Oryctolagus cuniculus: one gene and its partners. The protein of the gene in region 4 interacts with the protein of the main gene of each other region in a pairwise test. Links are inferred from orthologs where the notes say so. Each region holds a gene or a part of one and is shown on either strand. Other genes may lie near its edges.

What was found. The genes of interacting proteins can lie anywhere in the genome.
Region 1: the proteins of ARR3 (region 4) and DVL2 interact in a two-hybrid assay, tested with the Homo sapiens proteins (2 studies listed by BioGRID and IntAct). The two-hybrid records come from large-scale screens. The link is inferred for Oryctolagus cuniculus from reciprocal best matches to the Homo sapiens genes ARR3 and DVL2.
Region 2: the proteins of ARR3 (region 4) and GNMT interact in a two-hybrid assay, tested with the Homo sapiens proteins (2 studies listed by BioGRID and IntAct). The two-hybrid records come from large-scale screens. The link is inferred for Oryctolagus cuniculus from reciprocal best matches to the Homo sapiens genes ARR3 and GNMT.
Region 3: the proteins of ARR3 (region 4) and ZNF496 interact in binary tests that used the Homo sapiens proteins (3 or more experiments, as listed by UniProt). The two-hybrid records come from large-scale screens. The link is inferred for Oryctolagus cuniculus from reciprocal best matches to the Homo sapiens genes ARR3 and ZNF496.

The regions. Positions count from the first base shown.
Region 1 is NC_091448.1:51,838,990-51,844,654, reverse strand, and holds the start of DVL2 (segment polarity protein dishevelled homolog DVL-2), read left to right. Parts: upstream 1-2,355; 5' UTR 2,356-2,576; coding exon 2,577-2,770; intron 2,771-4,828; coding exon 4,829-4,898; intron 4,899-5,665. Other genes in the region: PHF23 (PHD finger protein 23), read left to right, coding at 188-1,025, 1,123-1,337.
Region 2 is NC_091436.1:127,046,477-127,051,902, reverse strand, and holds GNMT (glycine N-methyltransferase), read left to right. Parts: upstream 1-2,116; 5' UTR 2,117-2,153; coding exon 2,154-2,359; intron 2,360-3,155; coding exon 3,156-3,283; intron 3,284-3,665; coding exon 3,666-3,782; intron 3,783-3,986; coding exon 3,987-4,129; intron 4,130-4,232; coding exon 4,233-4,354; intron 4,355-4,439; coding exon 4,440-4,611; 3' UTR 4,612-4,757; downstream 4,758-5,426. Other genes in the region: PEX6 (peroxisome biogenesis factor 6), read right to left, coding at 5,092-5,228, 5,413-5,426. UniProt on the Homo sapiens protein: Catalyzes the methylation of glycine by using S-adenosylmethionine (AdoMet) to form N-methylglycine (sarcosine) with the concomitant production of S-adenosylhomocysteine (AdoHcy), a reaction regulated by the binding of 5-methyltetrahydrofolate.
Region 3 is NC_091437.1:1,716,379-1,721,845, forward strand, and holds the start of ZNF496 (zinc finger protein 496), read right to left. Parts: upstream 3,311-5,467; 5' UTR 3,060-3,310; intron 2,311-3,059; 5' UTR 2,184-2,310; intron 1,950-2,183; 5' UTR 1,911-1,949; coding exon 1,521-1,910; intron 1,373-1,520; coding exon 1,201-1,372; intron 152-1,200; coding exon 75-151; intron 1-74. UniProt on the Homo sapiens protein: DNA-binding transcription factor that can both act as an activator and a repressor.
Region 4 is NC_091453.1:50,171,202-50,176,189, forward strand, and holds part of ARR3 (arrestin-C), read left to right. Parts: intron 1-2,269; coding exon 2,270-2,469; intron 2,470-2,576; coding exon 2,577-2,636; intron 2,637-2,822; coding exon 2,823-2,890; intron 2,891-3,504; coding exon 3,505-3,640; intron 3,641-3,829; coding exon 3,830-3,914; intron 3,915-4,163; coding exon 4,164-4,236; intron 4,237-4,612; coding exon 4,613-4,750; intron 4,751-4,988. UniProt on the Homo sapiens protein: May play a role in an as yet undefined retina-specific signal transduction. Could bind to photoactivated-phosphorylated red/green opsins.

The sequences.
Region 1 (5,665 bases), on a different chromosome or scaffold from region 4:
GGGAGAGTGACCAGAACAGGAGGGGACAGAGCAAGAGGACCCCCACGGGGACTGGGGGAGGGACAGGTTGCCCGAGCAGGCTGGCGTGGTTGGGGGTAGGGCTAAGCCTTGGCGTTCAGGCTAGGTTTGTGGAGGGGCTGAGAAGACACTGGGCTCCCGCTGACCCTAGTCTCTGCATCCTTTTAAGGAAAGTGACTGGCCAGCCTCTGGCTCGAGCTCTCCACTGCGAGGTGAGAGTGCAGCCGACAGCGATGGCTGGGACTCGGCTCCCTCAGATCTTCGAACCATTCAGACCTTTGTTAAGAAAGCAAAGTCATCCAAGAGAAGGGCGGCTCAAGCAGGGCCCACCCAGCCAGGACCCCCAAGGTCCACTTTCTCTCGTCTGCAGGCCCCCGACAGTGCCAGCCTGCTTGAGAAGATGAAGCTCAAGGACTCTCTGTTTGATCTGGATGGCCCTAAAGTAGCATCTCCGCTGGCTCCCACAGCCCTGACACACCCCTCCCGGCCCCCCGCCGCCCTCACCCCAGTGCCCCTTGCCCAGGGGGACCTCTCCCAGCCCCCTCGAAAGAAGGACCGAAAGAACAGAAAGTTGGGGCCCGGTGGGGGGGCTGGCTTTGGGGTTCTCCGGAGGCCTCGACCGGCTCCTGGGGATGGGGAAAAGAGGTCTCGGATCAAGAAGAGCAAGAAGCGGAAGTTGAAAAAGGCAGAGCGGGGGGATAGACTCCCACCTCCTGGGCCTCCCAGGGCACCCCCCAGTGACACAGACTCTGAAGAGGAGGAGGAGGAAGAGGAAGAAGAGGAGGAGGAAGAGATGTCAGTAGTGGTAGGGGATGAAGCCCCAGCCCCTGTGCTCCCCACACCCTCTGAGGCCCCCAGGCCCCCTACCACAGTGCACCCCGAAGGCGCCCCTCCCACCGACAGTGAAAGCAAGGAGGTGGGCAGCACTGAAACAAGCCAGGATGGAGATGCCAGCTCCAGCGAAGGCGAGATGCGGGTCATGGACGAGGACATCATGGTGGAATCAGGTGAGGTGGGGGCTGCCTGGGCAGCGGGGACGGTGGGGTGCGGGGTGTTTGGATCCAAGAGCACAGGCAGGACATCCAGCAAACCTTCTTTCCCCAGGTGATGACTCATGGGACCTGATCACGTGTTACTGCCGGAAGCCCTTCGCAGGGCGGCCCATGATCGAGTGCAGCCTATGTGGGACGTGGATCCACCTCTCCTGTGCTAAGATTAAGAAGACCAATGTCCCTGACTTCTTTTATTGCCAGAAATGCAAGGAACTGCGGCCTGAGGCGCGGCGGTTAGGGGGGCTTCCCAAATCTGGAGAGCCCTGACACTGCCAACTCCAGGCTGGAACTGGCAAGTGACGATTCGGGAACTGAGCCTCGGGGGCTTCAGCCCATCCCCTGGAGTCTGGATGTGGTCCCCGCTTCAAGGCAGGAACGCCCAAGGCAGACTTCGGAAATGAGTCTCACGGTCCCTCCCTCCCCTCCCTCCCCAGCCTGTGGACTGGAGTGGACGTTGCGTTGGGCGTGGGAGGCTGTCGGGGGCCCCGGATGCAGCATCTTGGACCTGCCAGGGTTGGAATTGGGATGGACTGGGACAGCTGTCTATAAACTCTAGTGTAAATATAGCATTCCCCTCCCTCATCTTTTATTTTACTCCCAATTTATTTTCTTCTACACCGGTTGTATTTTTAATGTTGGACTTCCTCTTTCGAGCGTGGCGGCTCAGAGGTGGAGTGAGCCTGGCCAAGCGAGCAAGGAGAGCGGCAAGGTGACGGTCCTCACGCACCTCTTGTTTTTACTACTGGCCAGCCGTTTGTACAGACAGCCTGCGTGTTGTAAATAAAGCAGAGTGGGCTCTTTGTGTTTCTAGCCCTCCCTGACTGTCCTGCTTGGGGGGAGGCTCTGGGGGAGCTGGCCGCAGGGCACAAACCCACCTCGGCGTCCGGGCCTTCCCGCGCCGGGACACAACCCCAGGGGCTCCGTCGGCTTCTTCCCTCCACGCGCGCCCGCGGTCCCGCTGCTCCTGCACGGACGGTCGTGCGCAGTCGCTTCGCGTTCCCGCCCGGACGGCGCAGGGCGCCCCCCACCCCGAAGACGGAGGTCCCCAGGACACGGTGCCAGCCGGGAGGACCTCCGGTGGGGGATACGCTCGGGGGCGGAGTGGGTCGGGGCTGGGAGACCGTTGCTGAAGGCAGCGGTCACGTGGAGGGAGCGCTGGGAGGAGCCGAGTAGTCACGTGATGGCGGAGGGGTCACGTGGCGAAGGGCGGTGCAGGGAGCGCGAGGTGGGCGGGCTCGGGCCACGTGACATGAGGCGAGGTGGGCGGGGCCCTGGAGGGCGCTCGCGACGTCGGCGGCGGTGGCGCGCGGCGGCTGAGTGCGCCGCTCCGGGGCGCGTCGCGCGGCCCGCCACCCTGCCGCACCCCGCCGCCTCCCCGCTGCCCCACGCCCACACTGGCTCTGTCGCGTCCGCGCTCCGGTCGGGGTTCGAGTGTGCGCAGGCGCGGCGGGCCGCAGATAGCCCCACTGGGTGGGCGGCGGAGCCCGGGAGCGCGCGGGCGAGACCATGGCGGGCAGCAGCACGGGGGGCGGAGGCGTCGGGGAGACGAAGGTGATTTACCACCTGGATGAGGAGGAGACTCCCTACCTGGTGAAGATCCCAGTCCCCGCCGAGCGCATCACCCTTGGAGACTTCAAGAGCGTTCTGCAGCGGCCCGCGGGTGCTAAGTACTTTTTCAAGTCCATGGATCAGGATTTCGGGTGAGCGCGAGGCCTAGCCTGGGACTGACGGGGGCTGTACCCGCACGGATGGGGCGTTCTGCAGGGGGCACGGGTCTGCTCTGGGTTACACGGGTTTTCTGGCCTTCAGTGGATCGGATTGTGCCACACTGAGGCAGAGTGGCCGTCCCAGGACGGACAAGGTTATGCCTGGACAGATGGATGCACACGGAGCGATAAAGTGGAGAAGATTGGGCCATATGGAATAGGTGGGGGCGCGCAGGTTGGTTTTGGGGTGGTCGGGACTGAGCGTTTTCCTGTAGCACACAGCTTGTGTGGAGACAGCCTGCAGTCTCTTGACATAGCCGGGCTTGTGTTGGCGGCAGTTGGAACGTTGTGGCAGAGACAGGATTGTTTGGGGACTCCATGGAGTGTATGCATGCTAATGCAAAAAAAAAAAAAAAAAAAAAGTTGCGGTGTTCTAGGCTGCCTTGGAGTGGGCTACTGGACGGGCTGGGGTCATTCTGGTCTCTTGGTTGATCCTAACCTAATAACTCTTCTTCGGCACGCATCGGGGCACTTAGTACAGGGCAGATAAGGCTGTTGGGGCTTTTGCTAATACAGACAGCTGTATTGGGATAGTCTAGTCTATATTGGTGCAGACAGCTGCATGCAGGGACGTTGTAGGCTGTGCTAGAATAGATTGGGCTATCCTGGGGTAATTTGGGGATTCCTGGACTTGACTGGGACTGTAAATAACATATTCGAAGCCCTTTTGTTTTTCTCACTTTGGGGAATGACCACTCTTGTTTTGACTGCTCAGTTGTTTCACTGGCTGGCTAGATTGTGTTGATGGCTTGGATTTTAGGGGGACGGAACAAACTGGACTCTGCCTAAAAAGGTCGTTCAGCGTGGGGAGAGTGACAGTTGTCTTGGGAGTTATCTTGGGCTTAAATCAAAGCTCTTGGATTGGTCAGCAGTGTAATCTTGGGCAATTTCATTTACCTTTGTGCGTTGATTTTTCTCACATTTGAGATAATCACAGAGTGAAATGCTTAGTTCCCGCGCTTGGCACATGGGAAACTCTTGGGGCGTGGTCATCGTTGTCCTTGGCATTGAGGCCCACAGGTCCACAAACTCGGTTGTGGTGATACAGAATAGCCTGCCGTGGAGTGGGTTGAGCTGTGCCAAGATGGGTTATATTGGGAGAACACTAATTACACTGAAACAGATTGGTAGTGGCTGGGCCCTGTTGTCACATAACTAGCAAATGGATTCAGTTGGTGTATATACACACTCCCAGAGGCATATTAGGCTAAAGGGTTAATCAGACAAGATGTTCTGATTTGGGGAGGGGAGAGGGTGTGTTTGTGAGACAGAGGAGAAACCAGAGAATCTATTGGTTTGTGTGTTTTGTTTGTTTAGTCAACAAGTGTTAATGCTGCGTGGTCAGGGCGTGGTGTACAACAGAATGGGTGCTGCTGATTGCAAGGGGTGGTTGAGAAGAAAGGGGGGCAAGTCCAGTCCACTACAGGGAACACAGGGGAGCTGGTGGGGCTTTGGGGTCTTGAGACCCAGCATGTTGTTGAGAGCAGAGTTCTTCCAGGGGAGGCACAGGGGAACGGGAAGCCTGGCTTCCTCTCTTCTTCCCAGCTCTCAGCCTAAGGAGATGCTGTTGGTTCCTCTAATGGGCTTTTGTCCCCTGACAAAGACAGCACATCTGGACCACTCTCTGGAAGTGGATTAGAAAAAACTAAAGGGAAGTGGGAGAGTAGAAGCTTGTATGAGGTTGGGGAAGGTGTGTACGGAACAGGGCTGGGTTTGGGGACGGCTACCAGCAAGGCTCACTGGCAACCAGGTAACCACAGGGGTTGGCCTTCCAGTCATGCTGCAGGAAGTCTTTGGAGCAGCATTGCCCCTGAGGGCCAGCTGGGGCGAGCAGGCGAAACGTGGTGGGAGTGGGGTTTGGAGGTTGTTTCCCTAGGAGAGAGGGGGAACGAGGCAGGGGGTGGCCGGCATCCTTGAGCTGGGTGAAGACGGAGAAGCTGGCGGCGGGGGTGGCTGACCCAGCCTCGCTGACCTCGTCCTGTCTCCCGGCAGGGTGGTGAAGGAAGAAATTTCAGATGACAATGCCCGCCTGCCCTGCTTCAACGGAAGGGTGGTATCCTGGGTAAGGGCCCATTCCCTCTGGGTTCCCAGGCTGCTCCCAGCCTCATCTGTCTGTAGCCTCTCCCTGCCCAGTCATTGCCCTGGCCCTTTGCCTCCCTCCCTGTTTGGAGAGCCAGTGGGAGCTCCTCGGCTTTCTTCTGGAGCCTCTGCCATGAGGGGGCTTCAAAAACGTTCATGGGAAATGCATAGTATGAGAAAAGGATGCGTGGGCTTCAAAACAGGGTGCGTGGGCATGCGTCAAAATAAAGTTATTATTACTTTTTTTTTTTTTTTTTTTTGACAGAGTGGGCAGTGAGAGAGAGAGACAGAGAGAAAGGTCTTCCTTTGCCGTTGGTTCACCCTCCAATGGCCGCCACGGCCGGCACGCTGCAGCCAGTGCACCACGCCTATCCGCAGGCAAGAGCCAGGTGCTTCTCCTGGTCTCATGCAGGTGCAGGGCCCAAGCACTTGGGCCATCCTCCACTGCACTCCCGGGCCACAGCAGAGAGCTGGCCTGGAAGAGGGGCAACCGGGACAGAATCCGGCGCCCTGACCGGGACTAGAACCCGGTGTGCCAGCGCCGCAAGGCAGAGGATTAGCCTAGTGAGCCACGGCGCCGGCCTATTGTTACTTTTAAAAATGTATTTGAGAGACAGCCGTCTCCCATCTGCTTATGCATTCCTCAAATTCTGGCAATGGCCTGGGCTGGGCCAGGCTGAACTGGGCACTCAATCTGGGTCTCCCGTGTGGGTGGCAGGGACGCAAGCGCTTGAGCCATCCCTGCTGCCT
Region 2 (5,426 bases), on a different chromosome or scaffold from region 4:
TGGGCCAGATTAAATCCAGGAGGCAAGAATGCAATCCGAGTCTCTCATGTGAGTGGGCAGGGACCAAAGTACTTGAGCCAAACCCTGCTGCCTCCCAGGGTACCTATTACCAATAAGCTAGAATTGGGAGTGGAGCCAGGACTCAAACCTAGGTACCCAGATATGAGATGTGGGCATCTTGGGGCTGGCCAGCCTGAGGCTGAGGGCAGGGATAGCCAGGAATTCAGTCCACGTGAGTGGCAGGGACCCAGTCATGTGACCATCACCACTGCCTCCCAGGTTCTGCATTAGCAGGAAGCTGGAGTCTGAAGCTATAGCGGGGAACCAAAAACCAGAATTCCACTGTGGGATGCGGACATCCTAAGTAGTGTCTTAACTGCTGGGCCAAATGCCTGCCCTCCTCCCAGAATATTCTGAGGGAAGAATGACTCTGGGTTCACTTAAATTCCCCAGTACCGTGCCCCTGATGCCAGAGACCTGTTGTCAGCAGGAGGGTGAGCACATGGCTTCATTACTTGGACATGGACAGGCACGGTTGACGCTGTCCTTGTGCTGAAAATAGAAAGTTAAGCATGATTACATAATCTCTGGGTTCCTCCAGCTCTGAGATTCCATAGACAATCAAAGGGTTAGGGAGAGGAGGCTCGTTTGTTCTAGATTCCATAGCTGGCTCTTTATAGGCAGAGGAACAGTGCGGGTGGAGGCGGCATCCACATCATGGTCTCAGTGGCACTTTCCTAAATCCACCTTAGTCAGGGTCTTGTCCTTGGGAGAGAAATTTGGAAAACTTACTGCTCCGGGCAGTAAGGGTAGACATGCACTAAGCAAACCAAATGACTAATTTGTTTATTTCATTTGAAAGGCAGAGAGACAAGAGACAGAGAGACATACAGGCTAACAGAGAGAGCCCCATCCACTGGTTCACTCCCCACATCCCCACAACAGCCAGGGCTGGAGCAGGCCGAATCCAGGAGCCTGGAACTCAGTTCCCATCTCCCACATGGTCACCTGCTGCCTCCTTGGGTCAGCACTGTTAAGAAGCTGGAACAGGAAGTGGAGCCAGGACTTGAATCTCGGCACTTCGATATGGGATGTGGGTGTCCCTGAGTGGAGTCTTAACAGCCAGGCCAGATGCCCACTCTCAAATGCCCAACTTACAAAGAGACAGTGTGAGGGTCTCCCGGGCCCCTCGAAGACCCCAGCAACGGGGTCATGGAACATGTCCTGGCCAGCGACAGTCAGCCCAGGTCTGTGTCCCCAGGTTAGGATCCACATTTGCAGCGGTTGTCAGCTTCCAGCTGGCCTGCGTGGCCCTGGCTCCCTCGCAGTGTATTTTAGTAAATCTAACTCTGCTCACTCTCCGCTCTGGTGAATTCTCGCTGCCTGCCACACAGGCCTCAAATGGTCACTTCCCACGACAGATGGGAACAATAAAATAGCAAGGGCACCGAGCATGCTCACTCCTGCCCCTGTATGTGTGACCCTGTGGGCGCCTGGAGGGAAGCAGATGGTCTTTAGTGCCCAGTGGACCAGATGTTAGAAGCGGGTGGGCGGGGGGTAGGAACCACACTCAGCCTTAGCAGGCTCAGGGGGAATCCTGAAGTGTCTGTCGCCTACACAACAGCGACACACCTGCTCCAGGTGGGCAGGGATGCTTCTTCCTCCAGTCAGGGCTCTGTCCCTGACTGTGGGAAACGGAGCGGCACCATCCCCAGGACGCCTCGTGCCCGGGCTTTCCTGGCTGCCGGGCCTTCCTCCTGTACGCCCATCGCCTCGCCGCGCGGTCCAGTCCTGCCGCTCCCCGCCCCCGCCCCTCACCCCGCTCAGCTCGGTGTGGGTTTTGAAGTGCTCTTCCCTTTTTCCCAACCGGAGCAGGCGTGGAGAGGGCCCTGTGCCTCCCGGGGCCGTCCTGCAGGTGCGGGCCGAGTGGGCAGCAGGTTCCTTCCCACGTGGGCTTGTCCAAAGGGCTGGGTGCTGAACTGCCGGGCAGCGCCTTGCCCGAAGTCCCGGCAGCAGCGGGCTCGCGGCCACGAGTCCAGGAGGGGCGTGTCCCCGCGCTCACCTGCCATTGGCCAGGTGAGGCTGCCGGGTCGACCGCCGCGGCCGAGCTATAAGTGCCGAAGCCGAGGTTGCGGGGCCCAGGCGCGGTCAGGATGGTGGACAGCGTGTACCGGACCCGCTCTCTGGGGGTGGCGGCCGAAGGCCTCCCGGACCAGTACGCGGACGGGGAGGCGGCGCGCGTGTGGCAGCTCTACATCGGGGACACCCGCAGCCGTACCTCCGAGTACAAGACGTGGCTGCTCGGGCTGCTGCGGCAGCACGGCTGCCGGCGGGTGCTCGACGTGGCCTGCGGCACCGGGTGAGCCCGAGCGGGGTAGGGGGGCGACCAGGGGTCGGCTTGGCCCGGCCGCCAAACCACATGGCAGGCAGGAGCCAGGGCCCAGGAGCGCCGCCGCCGCCTCCGGGGGAAGAAGGGGTGCGGCGAGTGTCCGGGCGAGGGCGGAGGGAGAGCGGGGGTGAGGGTGCGCGGGCCTGGGCCTGGGCCGCAATGAGAGCGATCAGGGCGCAGAGCAGGAGCCGGACTTTGGGGCCAGCCCTGATCCTGGCTCCCACCTGGCCCCTCCAGCCCTGACCTTGGGCAGCGTTAACAATTGCTCAGCGTGCGTACATGCCAAGCGCTGCACCAGGAACTTGTGTTCCTGCTGTTTTTCAAACCCTCACAAAACCCCATGGGGGTGAGTAGTGCTAATCCGCACTCACTCCTGGGGAAGTGAGGGCTCAAAGTCAGTCAAGGCCCCACCTGGTGCGGAGGAGACACCACCCCAGGTTGGTTAGGGTCGCGCCACTGCGCTGTCCTGCTTCTGGGGCTATAACTTAACTCCAGGAACTGCAAGTTGTCCCTTTCTCAAAGGCAGCTCACACACCTGCCCCAGAGTCCCTGGGAGGATTAATGCAGTTTGCACATTGCCTGGCTCTGCAAAGGTGCTCGTTAAGAGGCGCCCCCTGGTGATCAGCTGCAGATTTGCCAGGTCATCTGAGGGCAGTGAGAAGGCAGAGGAAGCCTGGGCCTCTGGAGTTGGGACAGAGGGGCTCCACTTGCCAGGGGCCTCCTTGTCTTCCCAGGCCCCTGACTGCCCCTCTCCGACCCTGTGCAGGGTGGACTCCATCATGCTGGTGGAGGAGGGCTTCAGTGTGACGAGTGTGGATGCCAGTGACAAGATGCTGAAGTATGCGCTTAAAGAGCGCTGGAACCGGCGGCACGAGCCTGCCTTCGACAAATGGGGTATGCAGTTCCGGCTGGGCGCAGCCCAGAGACGCCGTCCTCTCTGCCCTGGGTGCCAGGGCTGGGCAGGGGGACAGCTGGTTCTCCTCAAGGGGACAGCAAAACGGTCATCTCTCTGAGGAGGAAGGCTTGGGTACCAGAATGGGGCAGTGAGTGTGAGAGCTTTAACTGGCCCTCCCCCCAAATGAACACACACACACAGCCCCCACCTCTCTTGACCCCTCCATGTCCATCAAGACCCCCTCCTAACTGGATAGGATTGCGCACGCATGCAGGTGGGTGTGCATCTTAAAGAACAAACAGGCAGGACTGCACTTGGTGGAGGGGTGCTAGTCATGCCACGAGGTTACCCTGCTTCCTCTTCTCCCGCCTGGCCCCATAGTCATAGAAGAAGCCAACTGGATGACTCTGGATAAAGACGTACCCCAGCCAGCAGGGGGTGGCTTTGATGCGGTCATCTGCCTTGGAAACAGTTTTGCCCACCTGCCAGACTGCAAAGGTGAGAGGTGTGGTCTCGGGCAGGCAGAGCCTTGCCTTGAACCCCACCCCTTTCCACAGACCCCTGGGAGCCTGCCCTCCTGCCAAAGCACACTCTGCTCTCTGCCCTCCTGTGCCGCAGTGCTGGAGCCCCTGGGGAGGAGACGGATGGGGGGAGGCTGGCGCTAGGGGCCCTGAGCTGACCGAGCCTCTGCCTGGAGCTCAGGGGACCAGAGCGAGCACCGGCAGGCGCTGAAGAACATTGCAAGCATGGTGCGCACCGGGGGCCTGCTGGTCATCGACCACCGCAACTACGACCACATCCTCAGCACGGGCTGTGCGCCCCCCGGGAAGAACATCTACTACAAGGTGAGCCCCCCAGGAGGGAGGGGCCGCAGTGCACGGTGTGAGCCTGGGCTCCAGGGCCCCACGGTGGGTGACAGAGGCTCACACAGCCTGTACCACTGCCCAGAGTGACCTGACCAAGGACGTCACGACGTCAGTGCTGACAGTGAACAACAAAGCCCACATGGTGACCCTGGACTACACGGTGCAGGTGCCGGCGGCTGGCCAGGACGGCCCTCCGAGCTTGAGGTAACACTGGGCTTGGCGGAGGTGAGGTGGCCATGAGGGGAGCCGGGGCCAGCAGGCCTCACGGCTGGCTGGGGCTCTGTTGCAGTAAGTTCCGGCTCTCCTACTACCCACACTGTCTGGCACCCTTCACGGAGTTGCTGCGAGCAGCCTTCGAGGGCAAGTGCCAGCACAGCGTCCTGGGCGACTTCAAGCCTTACCAGCCGGGCCAGGCCTACGTTCCCTGCTACTTCATCCACGTGCTCAAGAGGACAGCCTGAGTGCGGCCGCAGCTCCCACAGCCTCCTGCCCGACCTGGGGAGGGGGGCCCGGCAGCCCCACGCCCAGCCCCTCTGTCCCTGCAGGTGCTGGGGGTGTGGGTTCAGGCCAAAGGTAGAGTAAGCAATACAGCCTGTGCCTTGTCGGATCCTGCAGGCTTTGTGTTTCTATGTTGCTCTTCTCCACACCAAACAGTCCTGCCACAACACCAGCAGGGGGCGGCATACACTTTATTTTCAGCCACTGTGAGGGCCCAATCCCCAGCTCTCCTGAGCAGCTGGCCTGGGGCAGGAGATGCCTGGTGAGCTCTTCCTGGGGCTGCCAACACCGCTCCCTACCCAGGGCATCTCCCCGAGGGAGGTGGTCTTCAGGTGCATCGTGGGCAGCAGCCTGAGCAAGGGCCCTTTCCTCTCAGGTCTCTCTGTGGGGCCACCTGGGTACCTTTAGCCATTCTGGACAGAGTCCCGGTCTGCAGGGGGCTCCTAGCAGGCAGCAAACTTGCGCTGGATGCGTTTGTACCGCAGCAGCTCCTGCTCGCTGACCGAGGGCTGCAGCTGGGCGGCGGCCTGCAGCAGGTCCTCCATGGTGAGCAGCAGTGCCGAGCTGGCCGGCTCCAGCCCTGGGGGGAAAGGGGGGTGGCAGGGGGAGACCAGCGGCCCCATCTCCGCTGAAGGCAGAGGCTGTGACCCAGGGGAGGGCCCTTCCTGCTCAGAGTGCCCGGATGGCCCTCTTCTGAAATGCAGCCCCAGGCCTGGCTCGCACTAGTGTTTTTGGTTGATTTCTGGGGCTGGCAATGGGCTCACCTTCCTCCAGGTCA
Region 3 (5,467 bases), on a different chromosome or scaffold from region 4:
ACCTCTTCTGGGCTGGGCTGAATACCTTGTGAGGTACAAGAAGCAAGGTTTCAAGACTTGCAGAGATCACTCACCGGAGGCAGCTGAAGGGCGGTCACCTGGGGGGCACCCCACATACTCTCTTCCTGAAAAACTGGCATGTCCTGCAGAACTGAAAGAGACCAGATGAGGGTGTCCCAGTGAGCCAGTCCCCGTCCCACTCCAGGGCTGTCTGGCAAAGGAGACCAGGGGATGGCACCAGCAGACAGCTCGTCTGCAGGGAGGGTCTTAAGATGATACACTCCCCCATGTACAGCTTCTCTCTGCGTGGGTCAGGACGATACCCTACCCACTCTCCCCCAGCGCCTCTCCCTTCCCCCCACACCCTCAGGGCCTCTCCCTACCCAGCCTGGGAGGGTGTCCCCCACACACCTCCAGGGCCTCTCCCTGCCTGGTCCAGGACGATGCCCCCACACTCAGGGCCTCTCCCTGCCTGGCCCAGGCCGTATACACAGACACTGACTCTGGCAGGATGTGCTCCCAAGTTCATGCTGAGGTTCCAACCCTACAGCAGCACAGGCTGTGACTGCACTTGAAGGGCTGTTTCAGGAGGTAAAGCTCCAGAGGGTGAGCCCAGACCTACCCAGACTGGAACACACCCAGGTGCCCACCCTCCTAAGTCGGTGACAGAGCCCCTGTGCCTGGGCCCAGTGAGCAGCCCTGGAATTCACACACCCACCTCACCTTAACCATGCAGAATCCTGTACAGTATTGCATGTGGATTTAACAGGTGTTTTGTTTCTAGTGAAAAGCTGATTACAATGCCAAGGATGACAGCAGACCCCTGGCCTCCCAGACTACTGCACAACCAGGATTCCTCCCATCCAATGGCACTGGAACCACACCTGGGCCTGCCACCTCCCTGTGCCTCCCTGGAACACCACAAGGACCCTGCAGGCCACCGCTCAGCTGGGGCCACAGGTTCCCGGAAGCTCAGGCCACAGCTGTGGACACGGTGCAGAGATGCACCTCCAAGACACCCACCTCTGCAAGCGCTCCCTCTGGGAGGGCAGAAGTCCCCATAAGGCTCTGAGTCCATCGTCCTAGGGACGGACCCACACTCTGGGAATGGCTCACAGCTCCTCAGGGGCCAGGGGAGTCAAGAGCCACCACCCTAACAAAGCCCACACCCACCACACAGGGCCGCCAGGGGCTGCGTACCTGCATCCCCACTGAGCTGGCCTGGAGGTCTGCTTGGGAGCCCCGGGCTCTGAGCCAGGGCCACGGGCTCGGTGTCTGGGCCCCCAGCAAGGTCCCTGTGCGGTTCCGCCTGCAGCTGCTCCTGCTCCTGCTCCCCATCCTCAATCACCACGGGGTCCTCACAGTGCTTGAGCTGCAACCCCAGAGGGGGCTTTTCAGACTGAGGCAGAGCACACCGGGGCTGGGGCTCACCACAACTCCACAGTTGCCCACCCCAGGCTCCTTCCGGGCAGGTGCAGTGGCCCCTCCCACACGCGGACCGGGGCTGATCGCCAGCTCACCCACTGCCAGGGCCGGCCCGGCTCGCGCTCCAGCGCCTCCACCGCGGCCACTGCCTGTTCGCCGCTCTCTGGCTCCTGCGCCCGCACCCAGCTCTGCACCTCTCGGGGCAGGATGGCCAGGAACTGCTCGAGCACCAGCAGCTCCAGGATCTGCTCTTTGCTGCGCCGCTCCAGCCGCAGCCAGCCCCGGCACAGCTCGCACAGGCGGCGCAGCGCCTCACGCGGCCCCGCCGCCTCTTGGTAGCGGAAGCGGCGGAAGAGGCGGCGGGAGGACTCCGGGCTGGGCGGCTCGGCGCGAGGGCCGGGGTCTTCCCCTGGGGGGCTCTTCATCTTCCGGGGCTCTTCGCTCTCCTTCGGAGCCAAGACTCGGGGGCACAGCGCCGTGGGCATGACCAGCTGCAGTGACGGGGTCAGCGGCGGAAGACAAACCTGGTTCCAAACAGAAATCGCGGCTTCGACGCTGGGTCCCGGGGTCACGCCTGGGGCAGGGGGTCGGGAAAGCCCTGGAGTGCGTAACAACCCTTCTGGACACAGGACAGTGCCACCGCCTGGGTCCCTAATGCCGTGGGGGTGGAAGGGGTGGGGGAGCGGGAGAAGAGCCTCCAGTGGCCCTCGGGAGAGCAGGTCGATCTGGACAGGACCCACGGGTGCCCAGCCCTCTACCTTGAAGCTTCGGAGCTCCAGTGGCTGCCCTCGCCCTGCGGGCCTACACACTCGGAGCACCCCACCCTGGGCTGCAGCGCGGCTGGGAAGAGCCTGGGCCGGACCCGGAGGTCACCAGAGGCCGCACCTGCAGGTTGCCACAGAAAAACAGGGAGGCACCTAGCACCAGGTCTTCCCACGAGTCTGTCGGCCAACTCACTCGGACATCTACCCCATCTGAAGTCGCCCTGTCCCCACCCAGAGACCTGGTCCCTGCTCTGGGCTCCACCCACAGTCCTTCCCGCGCAGGCCGGGACGCCGCACTCCCACGGCGGGCTCAGAGCTCCTGAATCCCAGGCTGTAATGCAGGAGGCACAGCCCCGCAGAAGCCGCTGCCGTCGGGGGGACCTGAGGCCACTGCAGCTGAGCGCGGGTCCCCGAGGCACATCTTGAGCACCGGAAAAGTGGGCGGGCAGGTGGCGGCACGGTGCCCTGCCCGGCATCTGCTTCTCATACCCCCTCTGCACTGACACCTGGGCGTGAGCGCCGCTTAGGCGTCCCGGTGAGGAGGCCGTGCGGGCCTGGCTCCTGCTCTGCAGGAGGACCCATGAGGCCAGAGCAGCTGCAAAACCTCCGATGGGCACCCAGGTCTCTGCAGTGCAGCCGGCGCACGGAGCGGGCACTGGGCCAGCGGCTGTGACCCGTCGGCGCCACCTGCCCGCGCTCCGCACCGGCCCGGGACTCCCAGCCACACCTGCAGCCCCAGTACCCAGGCCCCTCGCCCCTTTGTCCCCCGGCCCCTGGCGCGAGCTCGGCCCGGCAGACGCGAGGGGCGGCCCCGGGGGCCGCGGCCGCCGGGATCCTCCGAGGAGCGCACTCTCCTCCCACCCCGCGCACCTCGCGGCCTTGGCTCGGCCCCGGCGTCCACCCGGGCCCCTCGCACGGCGCCGGATCCAGCCCCCGGCCGCGGCCGCCGCTGATCCTCTCCGGTGAGGCCTCCCCGCAGGGCCCGATTCGCTGCGGGCCGGCGCCGCCCGCGCGGCCGCGCCTCGCGCCCGCCCCGCCGCTGCCCGCCGCGCGCCCCCGGCCGCTGGGCGCCGCCGAGCCCGCGGACGCCGAGGCGCGGAAAGGCCGGACCCCGCGCGCCCTCCCCCGGGACACTTCCTGCTCCGCTCTAGGACGGCGGAGGTCTCCGCATCTCAGTGGTTCGCTCCCGCCCCCGGCCGAGGTGTGCGCGGGGCGACACCCGACACCCGACACCGCCGGGCCCGCCCCGCCCCGCCCGGGCCCCGGCCCCGGCGTGCCGAGGGCCCAGGCGGGGGTCGCGCCGGCCCAGGCCGTTCCCCTCCTTGGTGCCCCTCGCCCACGTCCCGGGAAGGCGGGCCAGGGGCGCTTCCCCTCCCGGTGCCCCTCGCCCACTCCCGGAGAGGGCGGTCTGGGGGCGCAGGAAGGCCTCTCCCACCCCCTCCCTGCTCCACCGCCGCCTGATCTCCGCGAGTCCCGAAGGCGCGGCCGTTGGCTCAGCCGAGGGGCGGAGGGGAGACAAGACTTGGACCCCAGGAGGTGGTGAAGGAGTTAGGGTCTCTGCCCCGGTGCTGTCACCCACGTTTCAGATGGGGCTTCCCCGGGCCAGCCGGTTTGTCAGGCCCTGAGTCTGGGTGGCCAGCGCTCCACGCCCTGCTCCATCCTCTGTCCCCCTCCAGGGCAAGGAGAGGAGAGGGAAGGCAGACTCCTTCAGACCCTCAAGGGCAAGCAGTGGGAAGCCCTCCTCCCTAAAGGTGGCCTGGTCTAGTAGGTGGAGGGTTGTCTGGATACCAGAGGCCCAGTGGCCATGGCTGTCCTGGTGCCTTGGGCCTGAGCCCCTTCCTCCCCTCCTGCATTGACTGCAATGGGCGCCAGCACTAGTTAGATGCTGGGATCCTCTGGCTCCTTAGGGAAGGAGTGGGGCTCCTGTGTGGACAGCGATTCCTCCTGGGCTGCCAGCCAGACCCCAGTTGGCCTGGCTCTCCACCAAGTGGCAGGGGCTATGCTGGATGTGGAAGGGCCCTGTAAGAGCACCTGCCAGGAGCCACACCTGGACTCAGGTGCTGGTCACAGCTGGTGTGCTCGTCCATGAGTAGTCTGGGACCAGCTCTAGGGGACTGGAATTGGTGCTCGCTGCTCCGCACCCTGTAGTTCTAAAGTAGGTAAAATGTAGGGTTCTGAGGTTGCCGCCATCAGCTTGGTCCCACCAGCAGTTAGGATCTTTCCTCTGAGAGACAGCTCCCTGCCAAGCCCCTCCTCTGTGTTCCTTCTGCATTTAGCTCAGCTCAGAGGTCAGAGTCTGGGTTCTGAGTCAGCACCTGGGCTAACTCCTGGGGCCTCGTCATTTCCTAGCCAGATGACCACAGGCCCTTGTAACTCCTCTGTGCCTCGGTTTCCTCCTCAAGAAACAGGGATGATGCTGCCAACTGCATTTTGTGGTCTGTGGGATGGTTCAGTCGTTCAGCAAACCTGCACTGAGGACCTGCTAGGCACCTGTGGTCCTGGTGGCCTTCCAGGCCATGCTGGGCATCCTGAACACAACTGGCTGCTGGTGGGAAGGGGCAAGGGCCAGGAAACAAGAGTAGAGTCTGGGCAGCGTTGTGGGGTAAAGGGTTAAGCAGCCATCTGCAATGCTGGCGCCCCATGAGTCCTGGCTGCTCCACTTCCAATCCAGCTCCCTGCTGATGTGCCTGGGAAAACAGCGGAAGATGGCCCAAGTCCCTGGACTCCCACCCACGTGGGAGACTAAGAGGAAGCTCCTGGTTCCTGGCTTCAGTCTAGCAGAGTCTTGGCTGTTGTGACCCTTTAGGGAGTGATCTCTCTCTCGCTCTCTCTCTCTCTGAGGGAAAAAAAAAAGAGTAAAGGCAATGACGTGAGTGATGTGTGCCCTAGAGGGAAGCAAGTGGAGCAGCGTCCAGAGGCAGGAGTGCTGGGGAGGGGCTAGCAGTGGGAGAGCAGGGCAGGCCTTACTTCCGGTCACATTTGAGACTGAGGAGTTGACCAAGCTCAGCTCTGGCTTGAGGGGGCCTGGAGAGGGTGGTCAGTGAGCCAGGGAGGGGCTGTCAGCTGGAGGTGAGCACACTGGAGGCTGTGGGAATTGTTTTCCTCTGCACCAGAGGCCACCAGCACTTGCTGCATCACAGTGCCCATCCTACCCTGGGGAGACAGGTGGACAATAAAGAAATGACAGTATAATTCCATAGGTGAGAGGGGCTGGAGAACAATAGCAGGGAATGTACTGGGACAATGTGGGGGGGCGGGGTGCCCCCCAACCATGTCAC
Region 4 (4,988 bases):
CTGGTCCTTATTACAGCCCTAGTGTTATTATTACTTTCAACCTTTGTTACTTCTTTTCAATACAGATTCATTTTCTGTATTCTTAATATTCAAAGCAGACAATCTGCTATTTAATATTTGGATCTCTTAAAATACTAAAATAACTCATGTGTAGCTATTGGCAGTTTTCTTTCCTTTGGGTCAGGGCCCCTGATACAAAGAAGGTTGTTCACCCATGTTCTCCATCTTTCCTCCAGCCTCTGTCGCTCTCCACCTCGCACTCCAGGAGTACAGTTCTGACACGTTCAATCTGTCCCTAATCATAGGCAACAACGGCACAGTCTGAATTCAGCTGTAACTCTTCCTCATCTGCCAAGATTCCCATCCTCCTCCTCCTCCTCCTCCACATCCTCATCCTCACCACCACCACCAACATCCACATCTACAAATAATTTATAGTTTCCGAACAGATTTCATATACAGCAACTCCTTCTCATAAGCATCCCATGAGCTGTTCAAGGTGGCCATGAGTCTGGGCTTTGGAATCACATAGGCCTGGGTTCAAATCCTGAGCCATACCTTAACTACTCTGAGCTCATTCAAATTACTTATGAAGTGGGGATGATAATTCAGAAGCTCAGGGCTGGCGCTGTGGCATAGTGGGTAAAGCCACCACCTACAATGCCGGCATCCCATATGGGCACCGGTTTGAGTTCCAGTTGCTCCAGAGTGGACAGTGAGAGAGAGACAGAGAGAAAGGTCTTCCTTTGCCTTTGGTTCACCCTCCAATGGCCACTGCGGCCGGAGCGCTGCGGCTGGCAAACCGCACTGATCTGAAGGCAGGAGCCAGGTGCTTCTCCTGGTCTCCCATGGGGTGCAGGGCCCAAGCACCTGGGCCATCCTCCACTGCCTTCCCGTGCCACAGCAGAGAGCTGGCCTGGAAGAGGGGCAACCGGGACAGAATCCGGCACCCTGACTGGGACTAGAACCTGGTGTGCAGGCGCCGCAAAGCGGAGGATTAGCCTATTGAGCCACAGTGCCGGCCGCAGTTGCTCTATTTCTGATCCAGCTCCCTGCTAATGGCCTGGGAAAGCAGTAGAAGATGGCCCAAGTGCTTGGGCCCCTGTCCATGTGGGAGACCAGGAAGAAGCTCCTGGCTTTGACCTGGCCGAGCCTTGGCCTTTGCAGCCATCTGAGGAGATGCCAGCAGATGGAAGATCTCTCTCCCCCTCTCTCTGTAACTTTGTCTTTCAAATAAATAAATAAATCTTAAGAAAAAATACTTCAGAGGCTTGTTGTATAGTCCAAATCATGTATGCAGAGATCCTAGCACCATTCTGCTATGGACAGGCCAAATAACTAAGGCCTGGAGAACTCAAGGAATTGGTTCAAGTCCTATGCGAGACCAGATATTTTTACCCTTAATTTTATTGTCTATCTTTCTTGTTATGAACTATTTCAGGAGAAGATGCTCTGTGCCCATCATCTAGCTTTATAAAGAATTACAGAAACAAATGGAAGTCTCCTACATGTCCTTCCCTGATCCCACTGTCCCCTCTCCCACCCTTCTCCTCCTCCTTCTCTCCCCACTCCCCAGGTAAGCACTATTCTGAATGTGGTGTTTATAATTCCCATGAGGTTTCTAAAAATCTCCATATTTGTGTATGTGTGATGAAGTCTGGTATTGTTCTACATGCTTTGAAACAGTAACCTACTGGGCAGATCGTTGTGCAGCTGGCTTTTCATACACAGTAGGATTTTTGTATTTTATTTGAAATACAGAGTTACAGAGAAGCAGAGGCAGAGAGAAAGGGGGGGGTCTTCTATCCGCTAGTTCACTTCCCAGATATCTGCAATGGCTGGAGCTGTGCTGATCCAAAGCCAGGAGCCAGGAGCTTCTTCCGGGTATCCCACGTGGGTGCAGGGGTTCTAGGACTTGGGCCATTTTCCACTGCTTTCCCAGGCCACAGCAGAGAGCTCGGAAGTGGAGCAGCCAGGTCTCGAACCAGTGCCCATATGGGATGCCGGCACTGCAGGGGGCAGCTTTACCCGCTACACCACAGTGCTGGTCCCCACAATAAGTTTTTAGATTTTAACCATGTTAATATATGTCAAAATGTTTGTGAAAAGTGTGCATTACCTTTGATTCCATTTTCCACAAATCCTTCAAAGTACCCTCATATGTCGTCGAATGTATGAGTAATCCTTTTGTTCTTTCAACAGTATGATCACCATTAAGACCTTTCCCACTCAGGCCTGACAGGTCAATTCCCTCCTCCTTTGCCTGCAGTGTTTGTCATGTTGACATGTGCCTTTCACTATGGCCGTGAGGACTTGGATGCAATTGGTCTGACATTCCACAAAGATCTGTATGTCCAGGTCCAGCAAGTGGCTCCGGCTGAACCCACCAGCCCCCAGGGACCCCTCACAGTCCTGCAGGAGCGACTACTGCACAAGCTGGGGGATAATGCCTACCCCTTTACTCTGCAGGTATGGACCCCAAGTCCTGGGCATGGTTTCCAGGGAAGAGGAAGAAGGAGAGCAGAGGACAGGAGTCTCTTTTTCTTCTGTGCACTGACCTCCTTTTGGTCCCCTAGATGGTTGCCAACCTGCCTTGTTCAGTGACCCTGCAGCCAGGTCCTGAAGATGCAGGAAAGGTGAGGTTTGTGTCCCGAGAAAGAGGGATAGACAGGTAATGCCAGGGAAGAGGAGTAAGGAGGGAATGGATAAGACTGAAGGAACAGCCAGCTAAGGGGAGAGGCCAGGCATTCCTCTTGGAGGCCCAGGAGGAAATGAGGGACAGTGTTGGAAATGAGCTCTCTTTGCCTCCTACCCCTTTGCAGGCCTGTGGTGTCGACTTTGAAGTGAAGAGTTTCTGTGCTGAAAACCTGGAGGAGAAGATCCCCAAGGGGTAGTCTTCAGCCCTTCCCCAGATGCCTGCTCTAGCTTCTGCCAGGAAACAGATCCCGGTCTCACACACAGACAGCCCGACTTCTAACCTCCATAGCACCATTGCCACCAGCTCAGATGCCTACTTTGGAGTCCCCTCTGACTTCTTTTCTTTGCCCCAGGGCAGGGGTTGGCAAACCTTTCCATAAAGGGCCAAAATCTAAATATTTTGCTTTTTGCGGGCAATTCTGTCTCAGTTGAACTCTGCCACTGCCATTGGGAAAGCACGCTCAGATAGTACAGAAATGGGTGTGCCTGTATTGATGGACACAGACATTTGAATTTTATATCACATGCATGTGTCATGAAATATTTCTGCTCCTCGATTTATTTCAACTATTTACAAACGTGATCATTATTAGCTTACAGGCCATACCTAAAAAGGCAGTAGGCCAGATTTGGCCAGTGAGCCATACATAGTTTGCTGCCCCTTGGTAAAGGTACCAGAAGATTTCTGGGAGGGAGGCCTTCCCCCAACCCCCACTCCCAAGCAAGGCCTGGGCTATGGGGTTGGCATTGGAGAGGTCTGTGGGTCCCATAGGAGATGTTCTGGCTGATTCCTTGGCTTCTGCTCAGACACTCGGTGCGACTGGTTGTCCGGAAAGTACAGTTTGCACCCCTGGAGCCAGGCCCTGGCCCCAGGGCCCAGACCACCCGCCGTTTCCTTCTGTCAGCTCAGCCTCTACAACTCCAGGCCTGGATGGACAAGGAGGTTTGTGACCCTCCACTTCCTGCCCCCTACCCTACAATCCCTCTGATGCCCTGTCTTCACCCACCTCCTTCTTTGGTAGGCAGAGATGAGAGCCAGGGCAGCAATAGTGCCAAGGACACAGGAATTCTCAGGTTTTGATCTGAGTGTTTTTCCTCCAACCTCATGATGGGGCCTCTCCTCCTACTTCAGGTTCACTACCATGGCGAACCCATCCCTGTCAATGTCTCTATCAACAATTGCACCAACAAGGTCATCAAGAAAATCAGGATTTCAGGTGAGCTGCTTTTCCTGTCCTGCACCTGGCCCTAGAACCACAGGTCTCTGAATCTCTGCCCCACTTAGCCATCTGCATTCCTCTTAGCCTTCCCTCCAAAACAGGTTTCCCAAAGCAGATAATCTTTGTCAAAGTGCACATCTTACTGCAGGATGTAGTGTGCCCTTGTATAAGGTCTCATCTGAGGATAGTGCAGTGGGATCTCGAGGATCGCTGATTCTAGCCGTGTGCTTTTCCTGGCTTGTTTAGTTGACCAGATCACGGACGTTGTCCTGTATTCACTAGACAAGTACACCAAGACTGTGTTCCTTCAAGAGTTCACGTGAGCTGCCACTGGGGCTGGGGTCAGAGAAGCGAGGGGTGGCATGGTGGGAGGCAGAGGAGGGGGTTGAGGAAGGAAGAAAGGGTAGGGGGAGCCCAGGAATGGGCTAGAACAGAGAAAGGGAGGGATTCCCAGGAGAACTGGGTGGTGATGGGGTGTGGCTTACCCATAGGAGAATGGTCACAGGGCTGAAAGGAAGGCAGGGGCACGAGGACTTCTCACTGGAGCTAGTTCCTCTTACTCTTTGCTGTTAGACTTGTCACCTCTCATGGGTTCTCCATGAGGCTCTTGGGGATTCTGCTAGATCCTCTCGGGTGTGAAAGGATACTTGGTTGGCAAGCCAAGCCTAAATTCTTCTCTTGTTGTCCTTTCAAAGGGAGACTATAGCTGCTAACTCCAGCTTTTCCCAGAGTTTTGCAGTCACCCCGCTCCTGGCTACCAACTGCCACAAACAAGGCCTGGCACTGGATGGCAAACTCAAGCATGAAGATACCAATCTGGCCTCTAGCACAATGTAAGCTCAAACACATGCCCCAATCTCCATTTCCTACCCTTAACCTATTCCGCCTGCTGTATATACAGCTCTGCAGTTTCATAGTCTGTGAAGCCTACCTTGTTTTTAAAACATCCCTAAGTCAATGTTCAGAGAATTCTCCAGGCCTGCCTGAAGGCCAGGAGCCAATGACAGGTGTAGGTCTCAGGCAGCAAGAAAAGAAAATGAAAGAGGCAAATAAAAAAGTCTTATGTTGTAT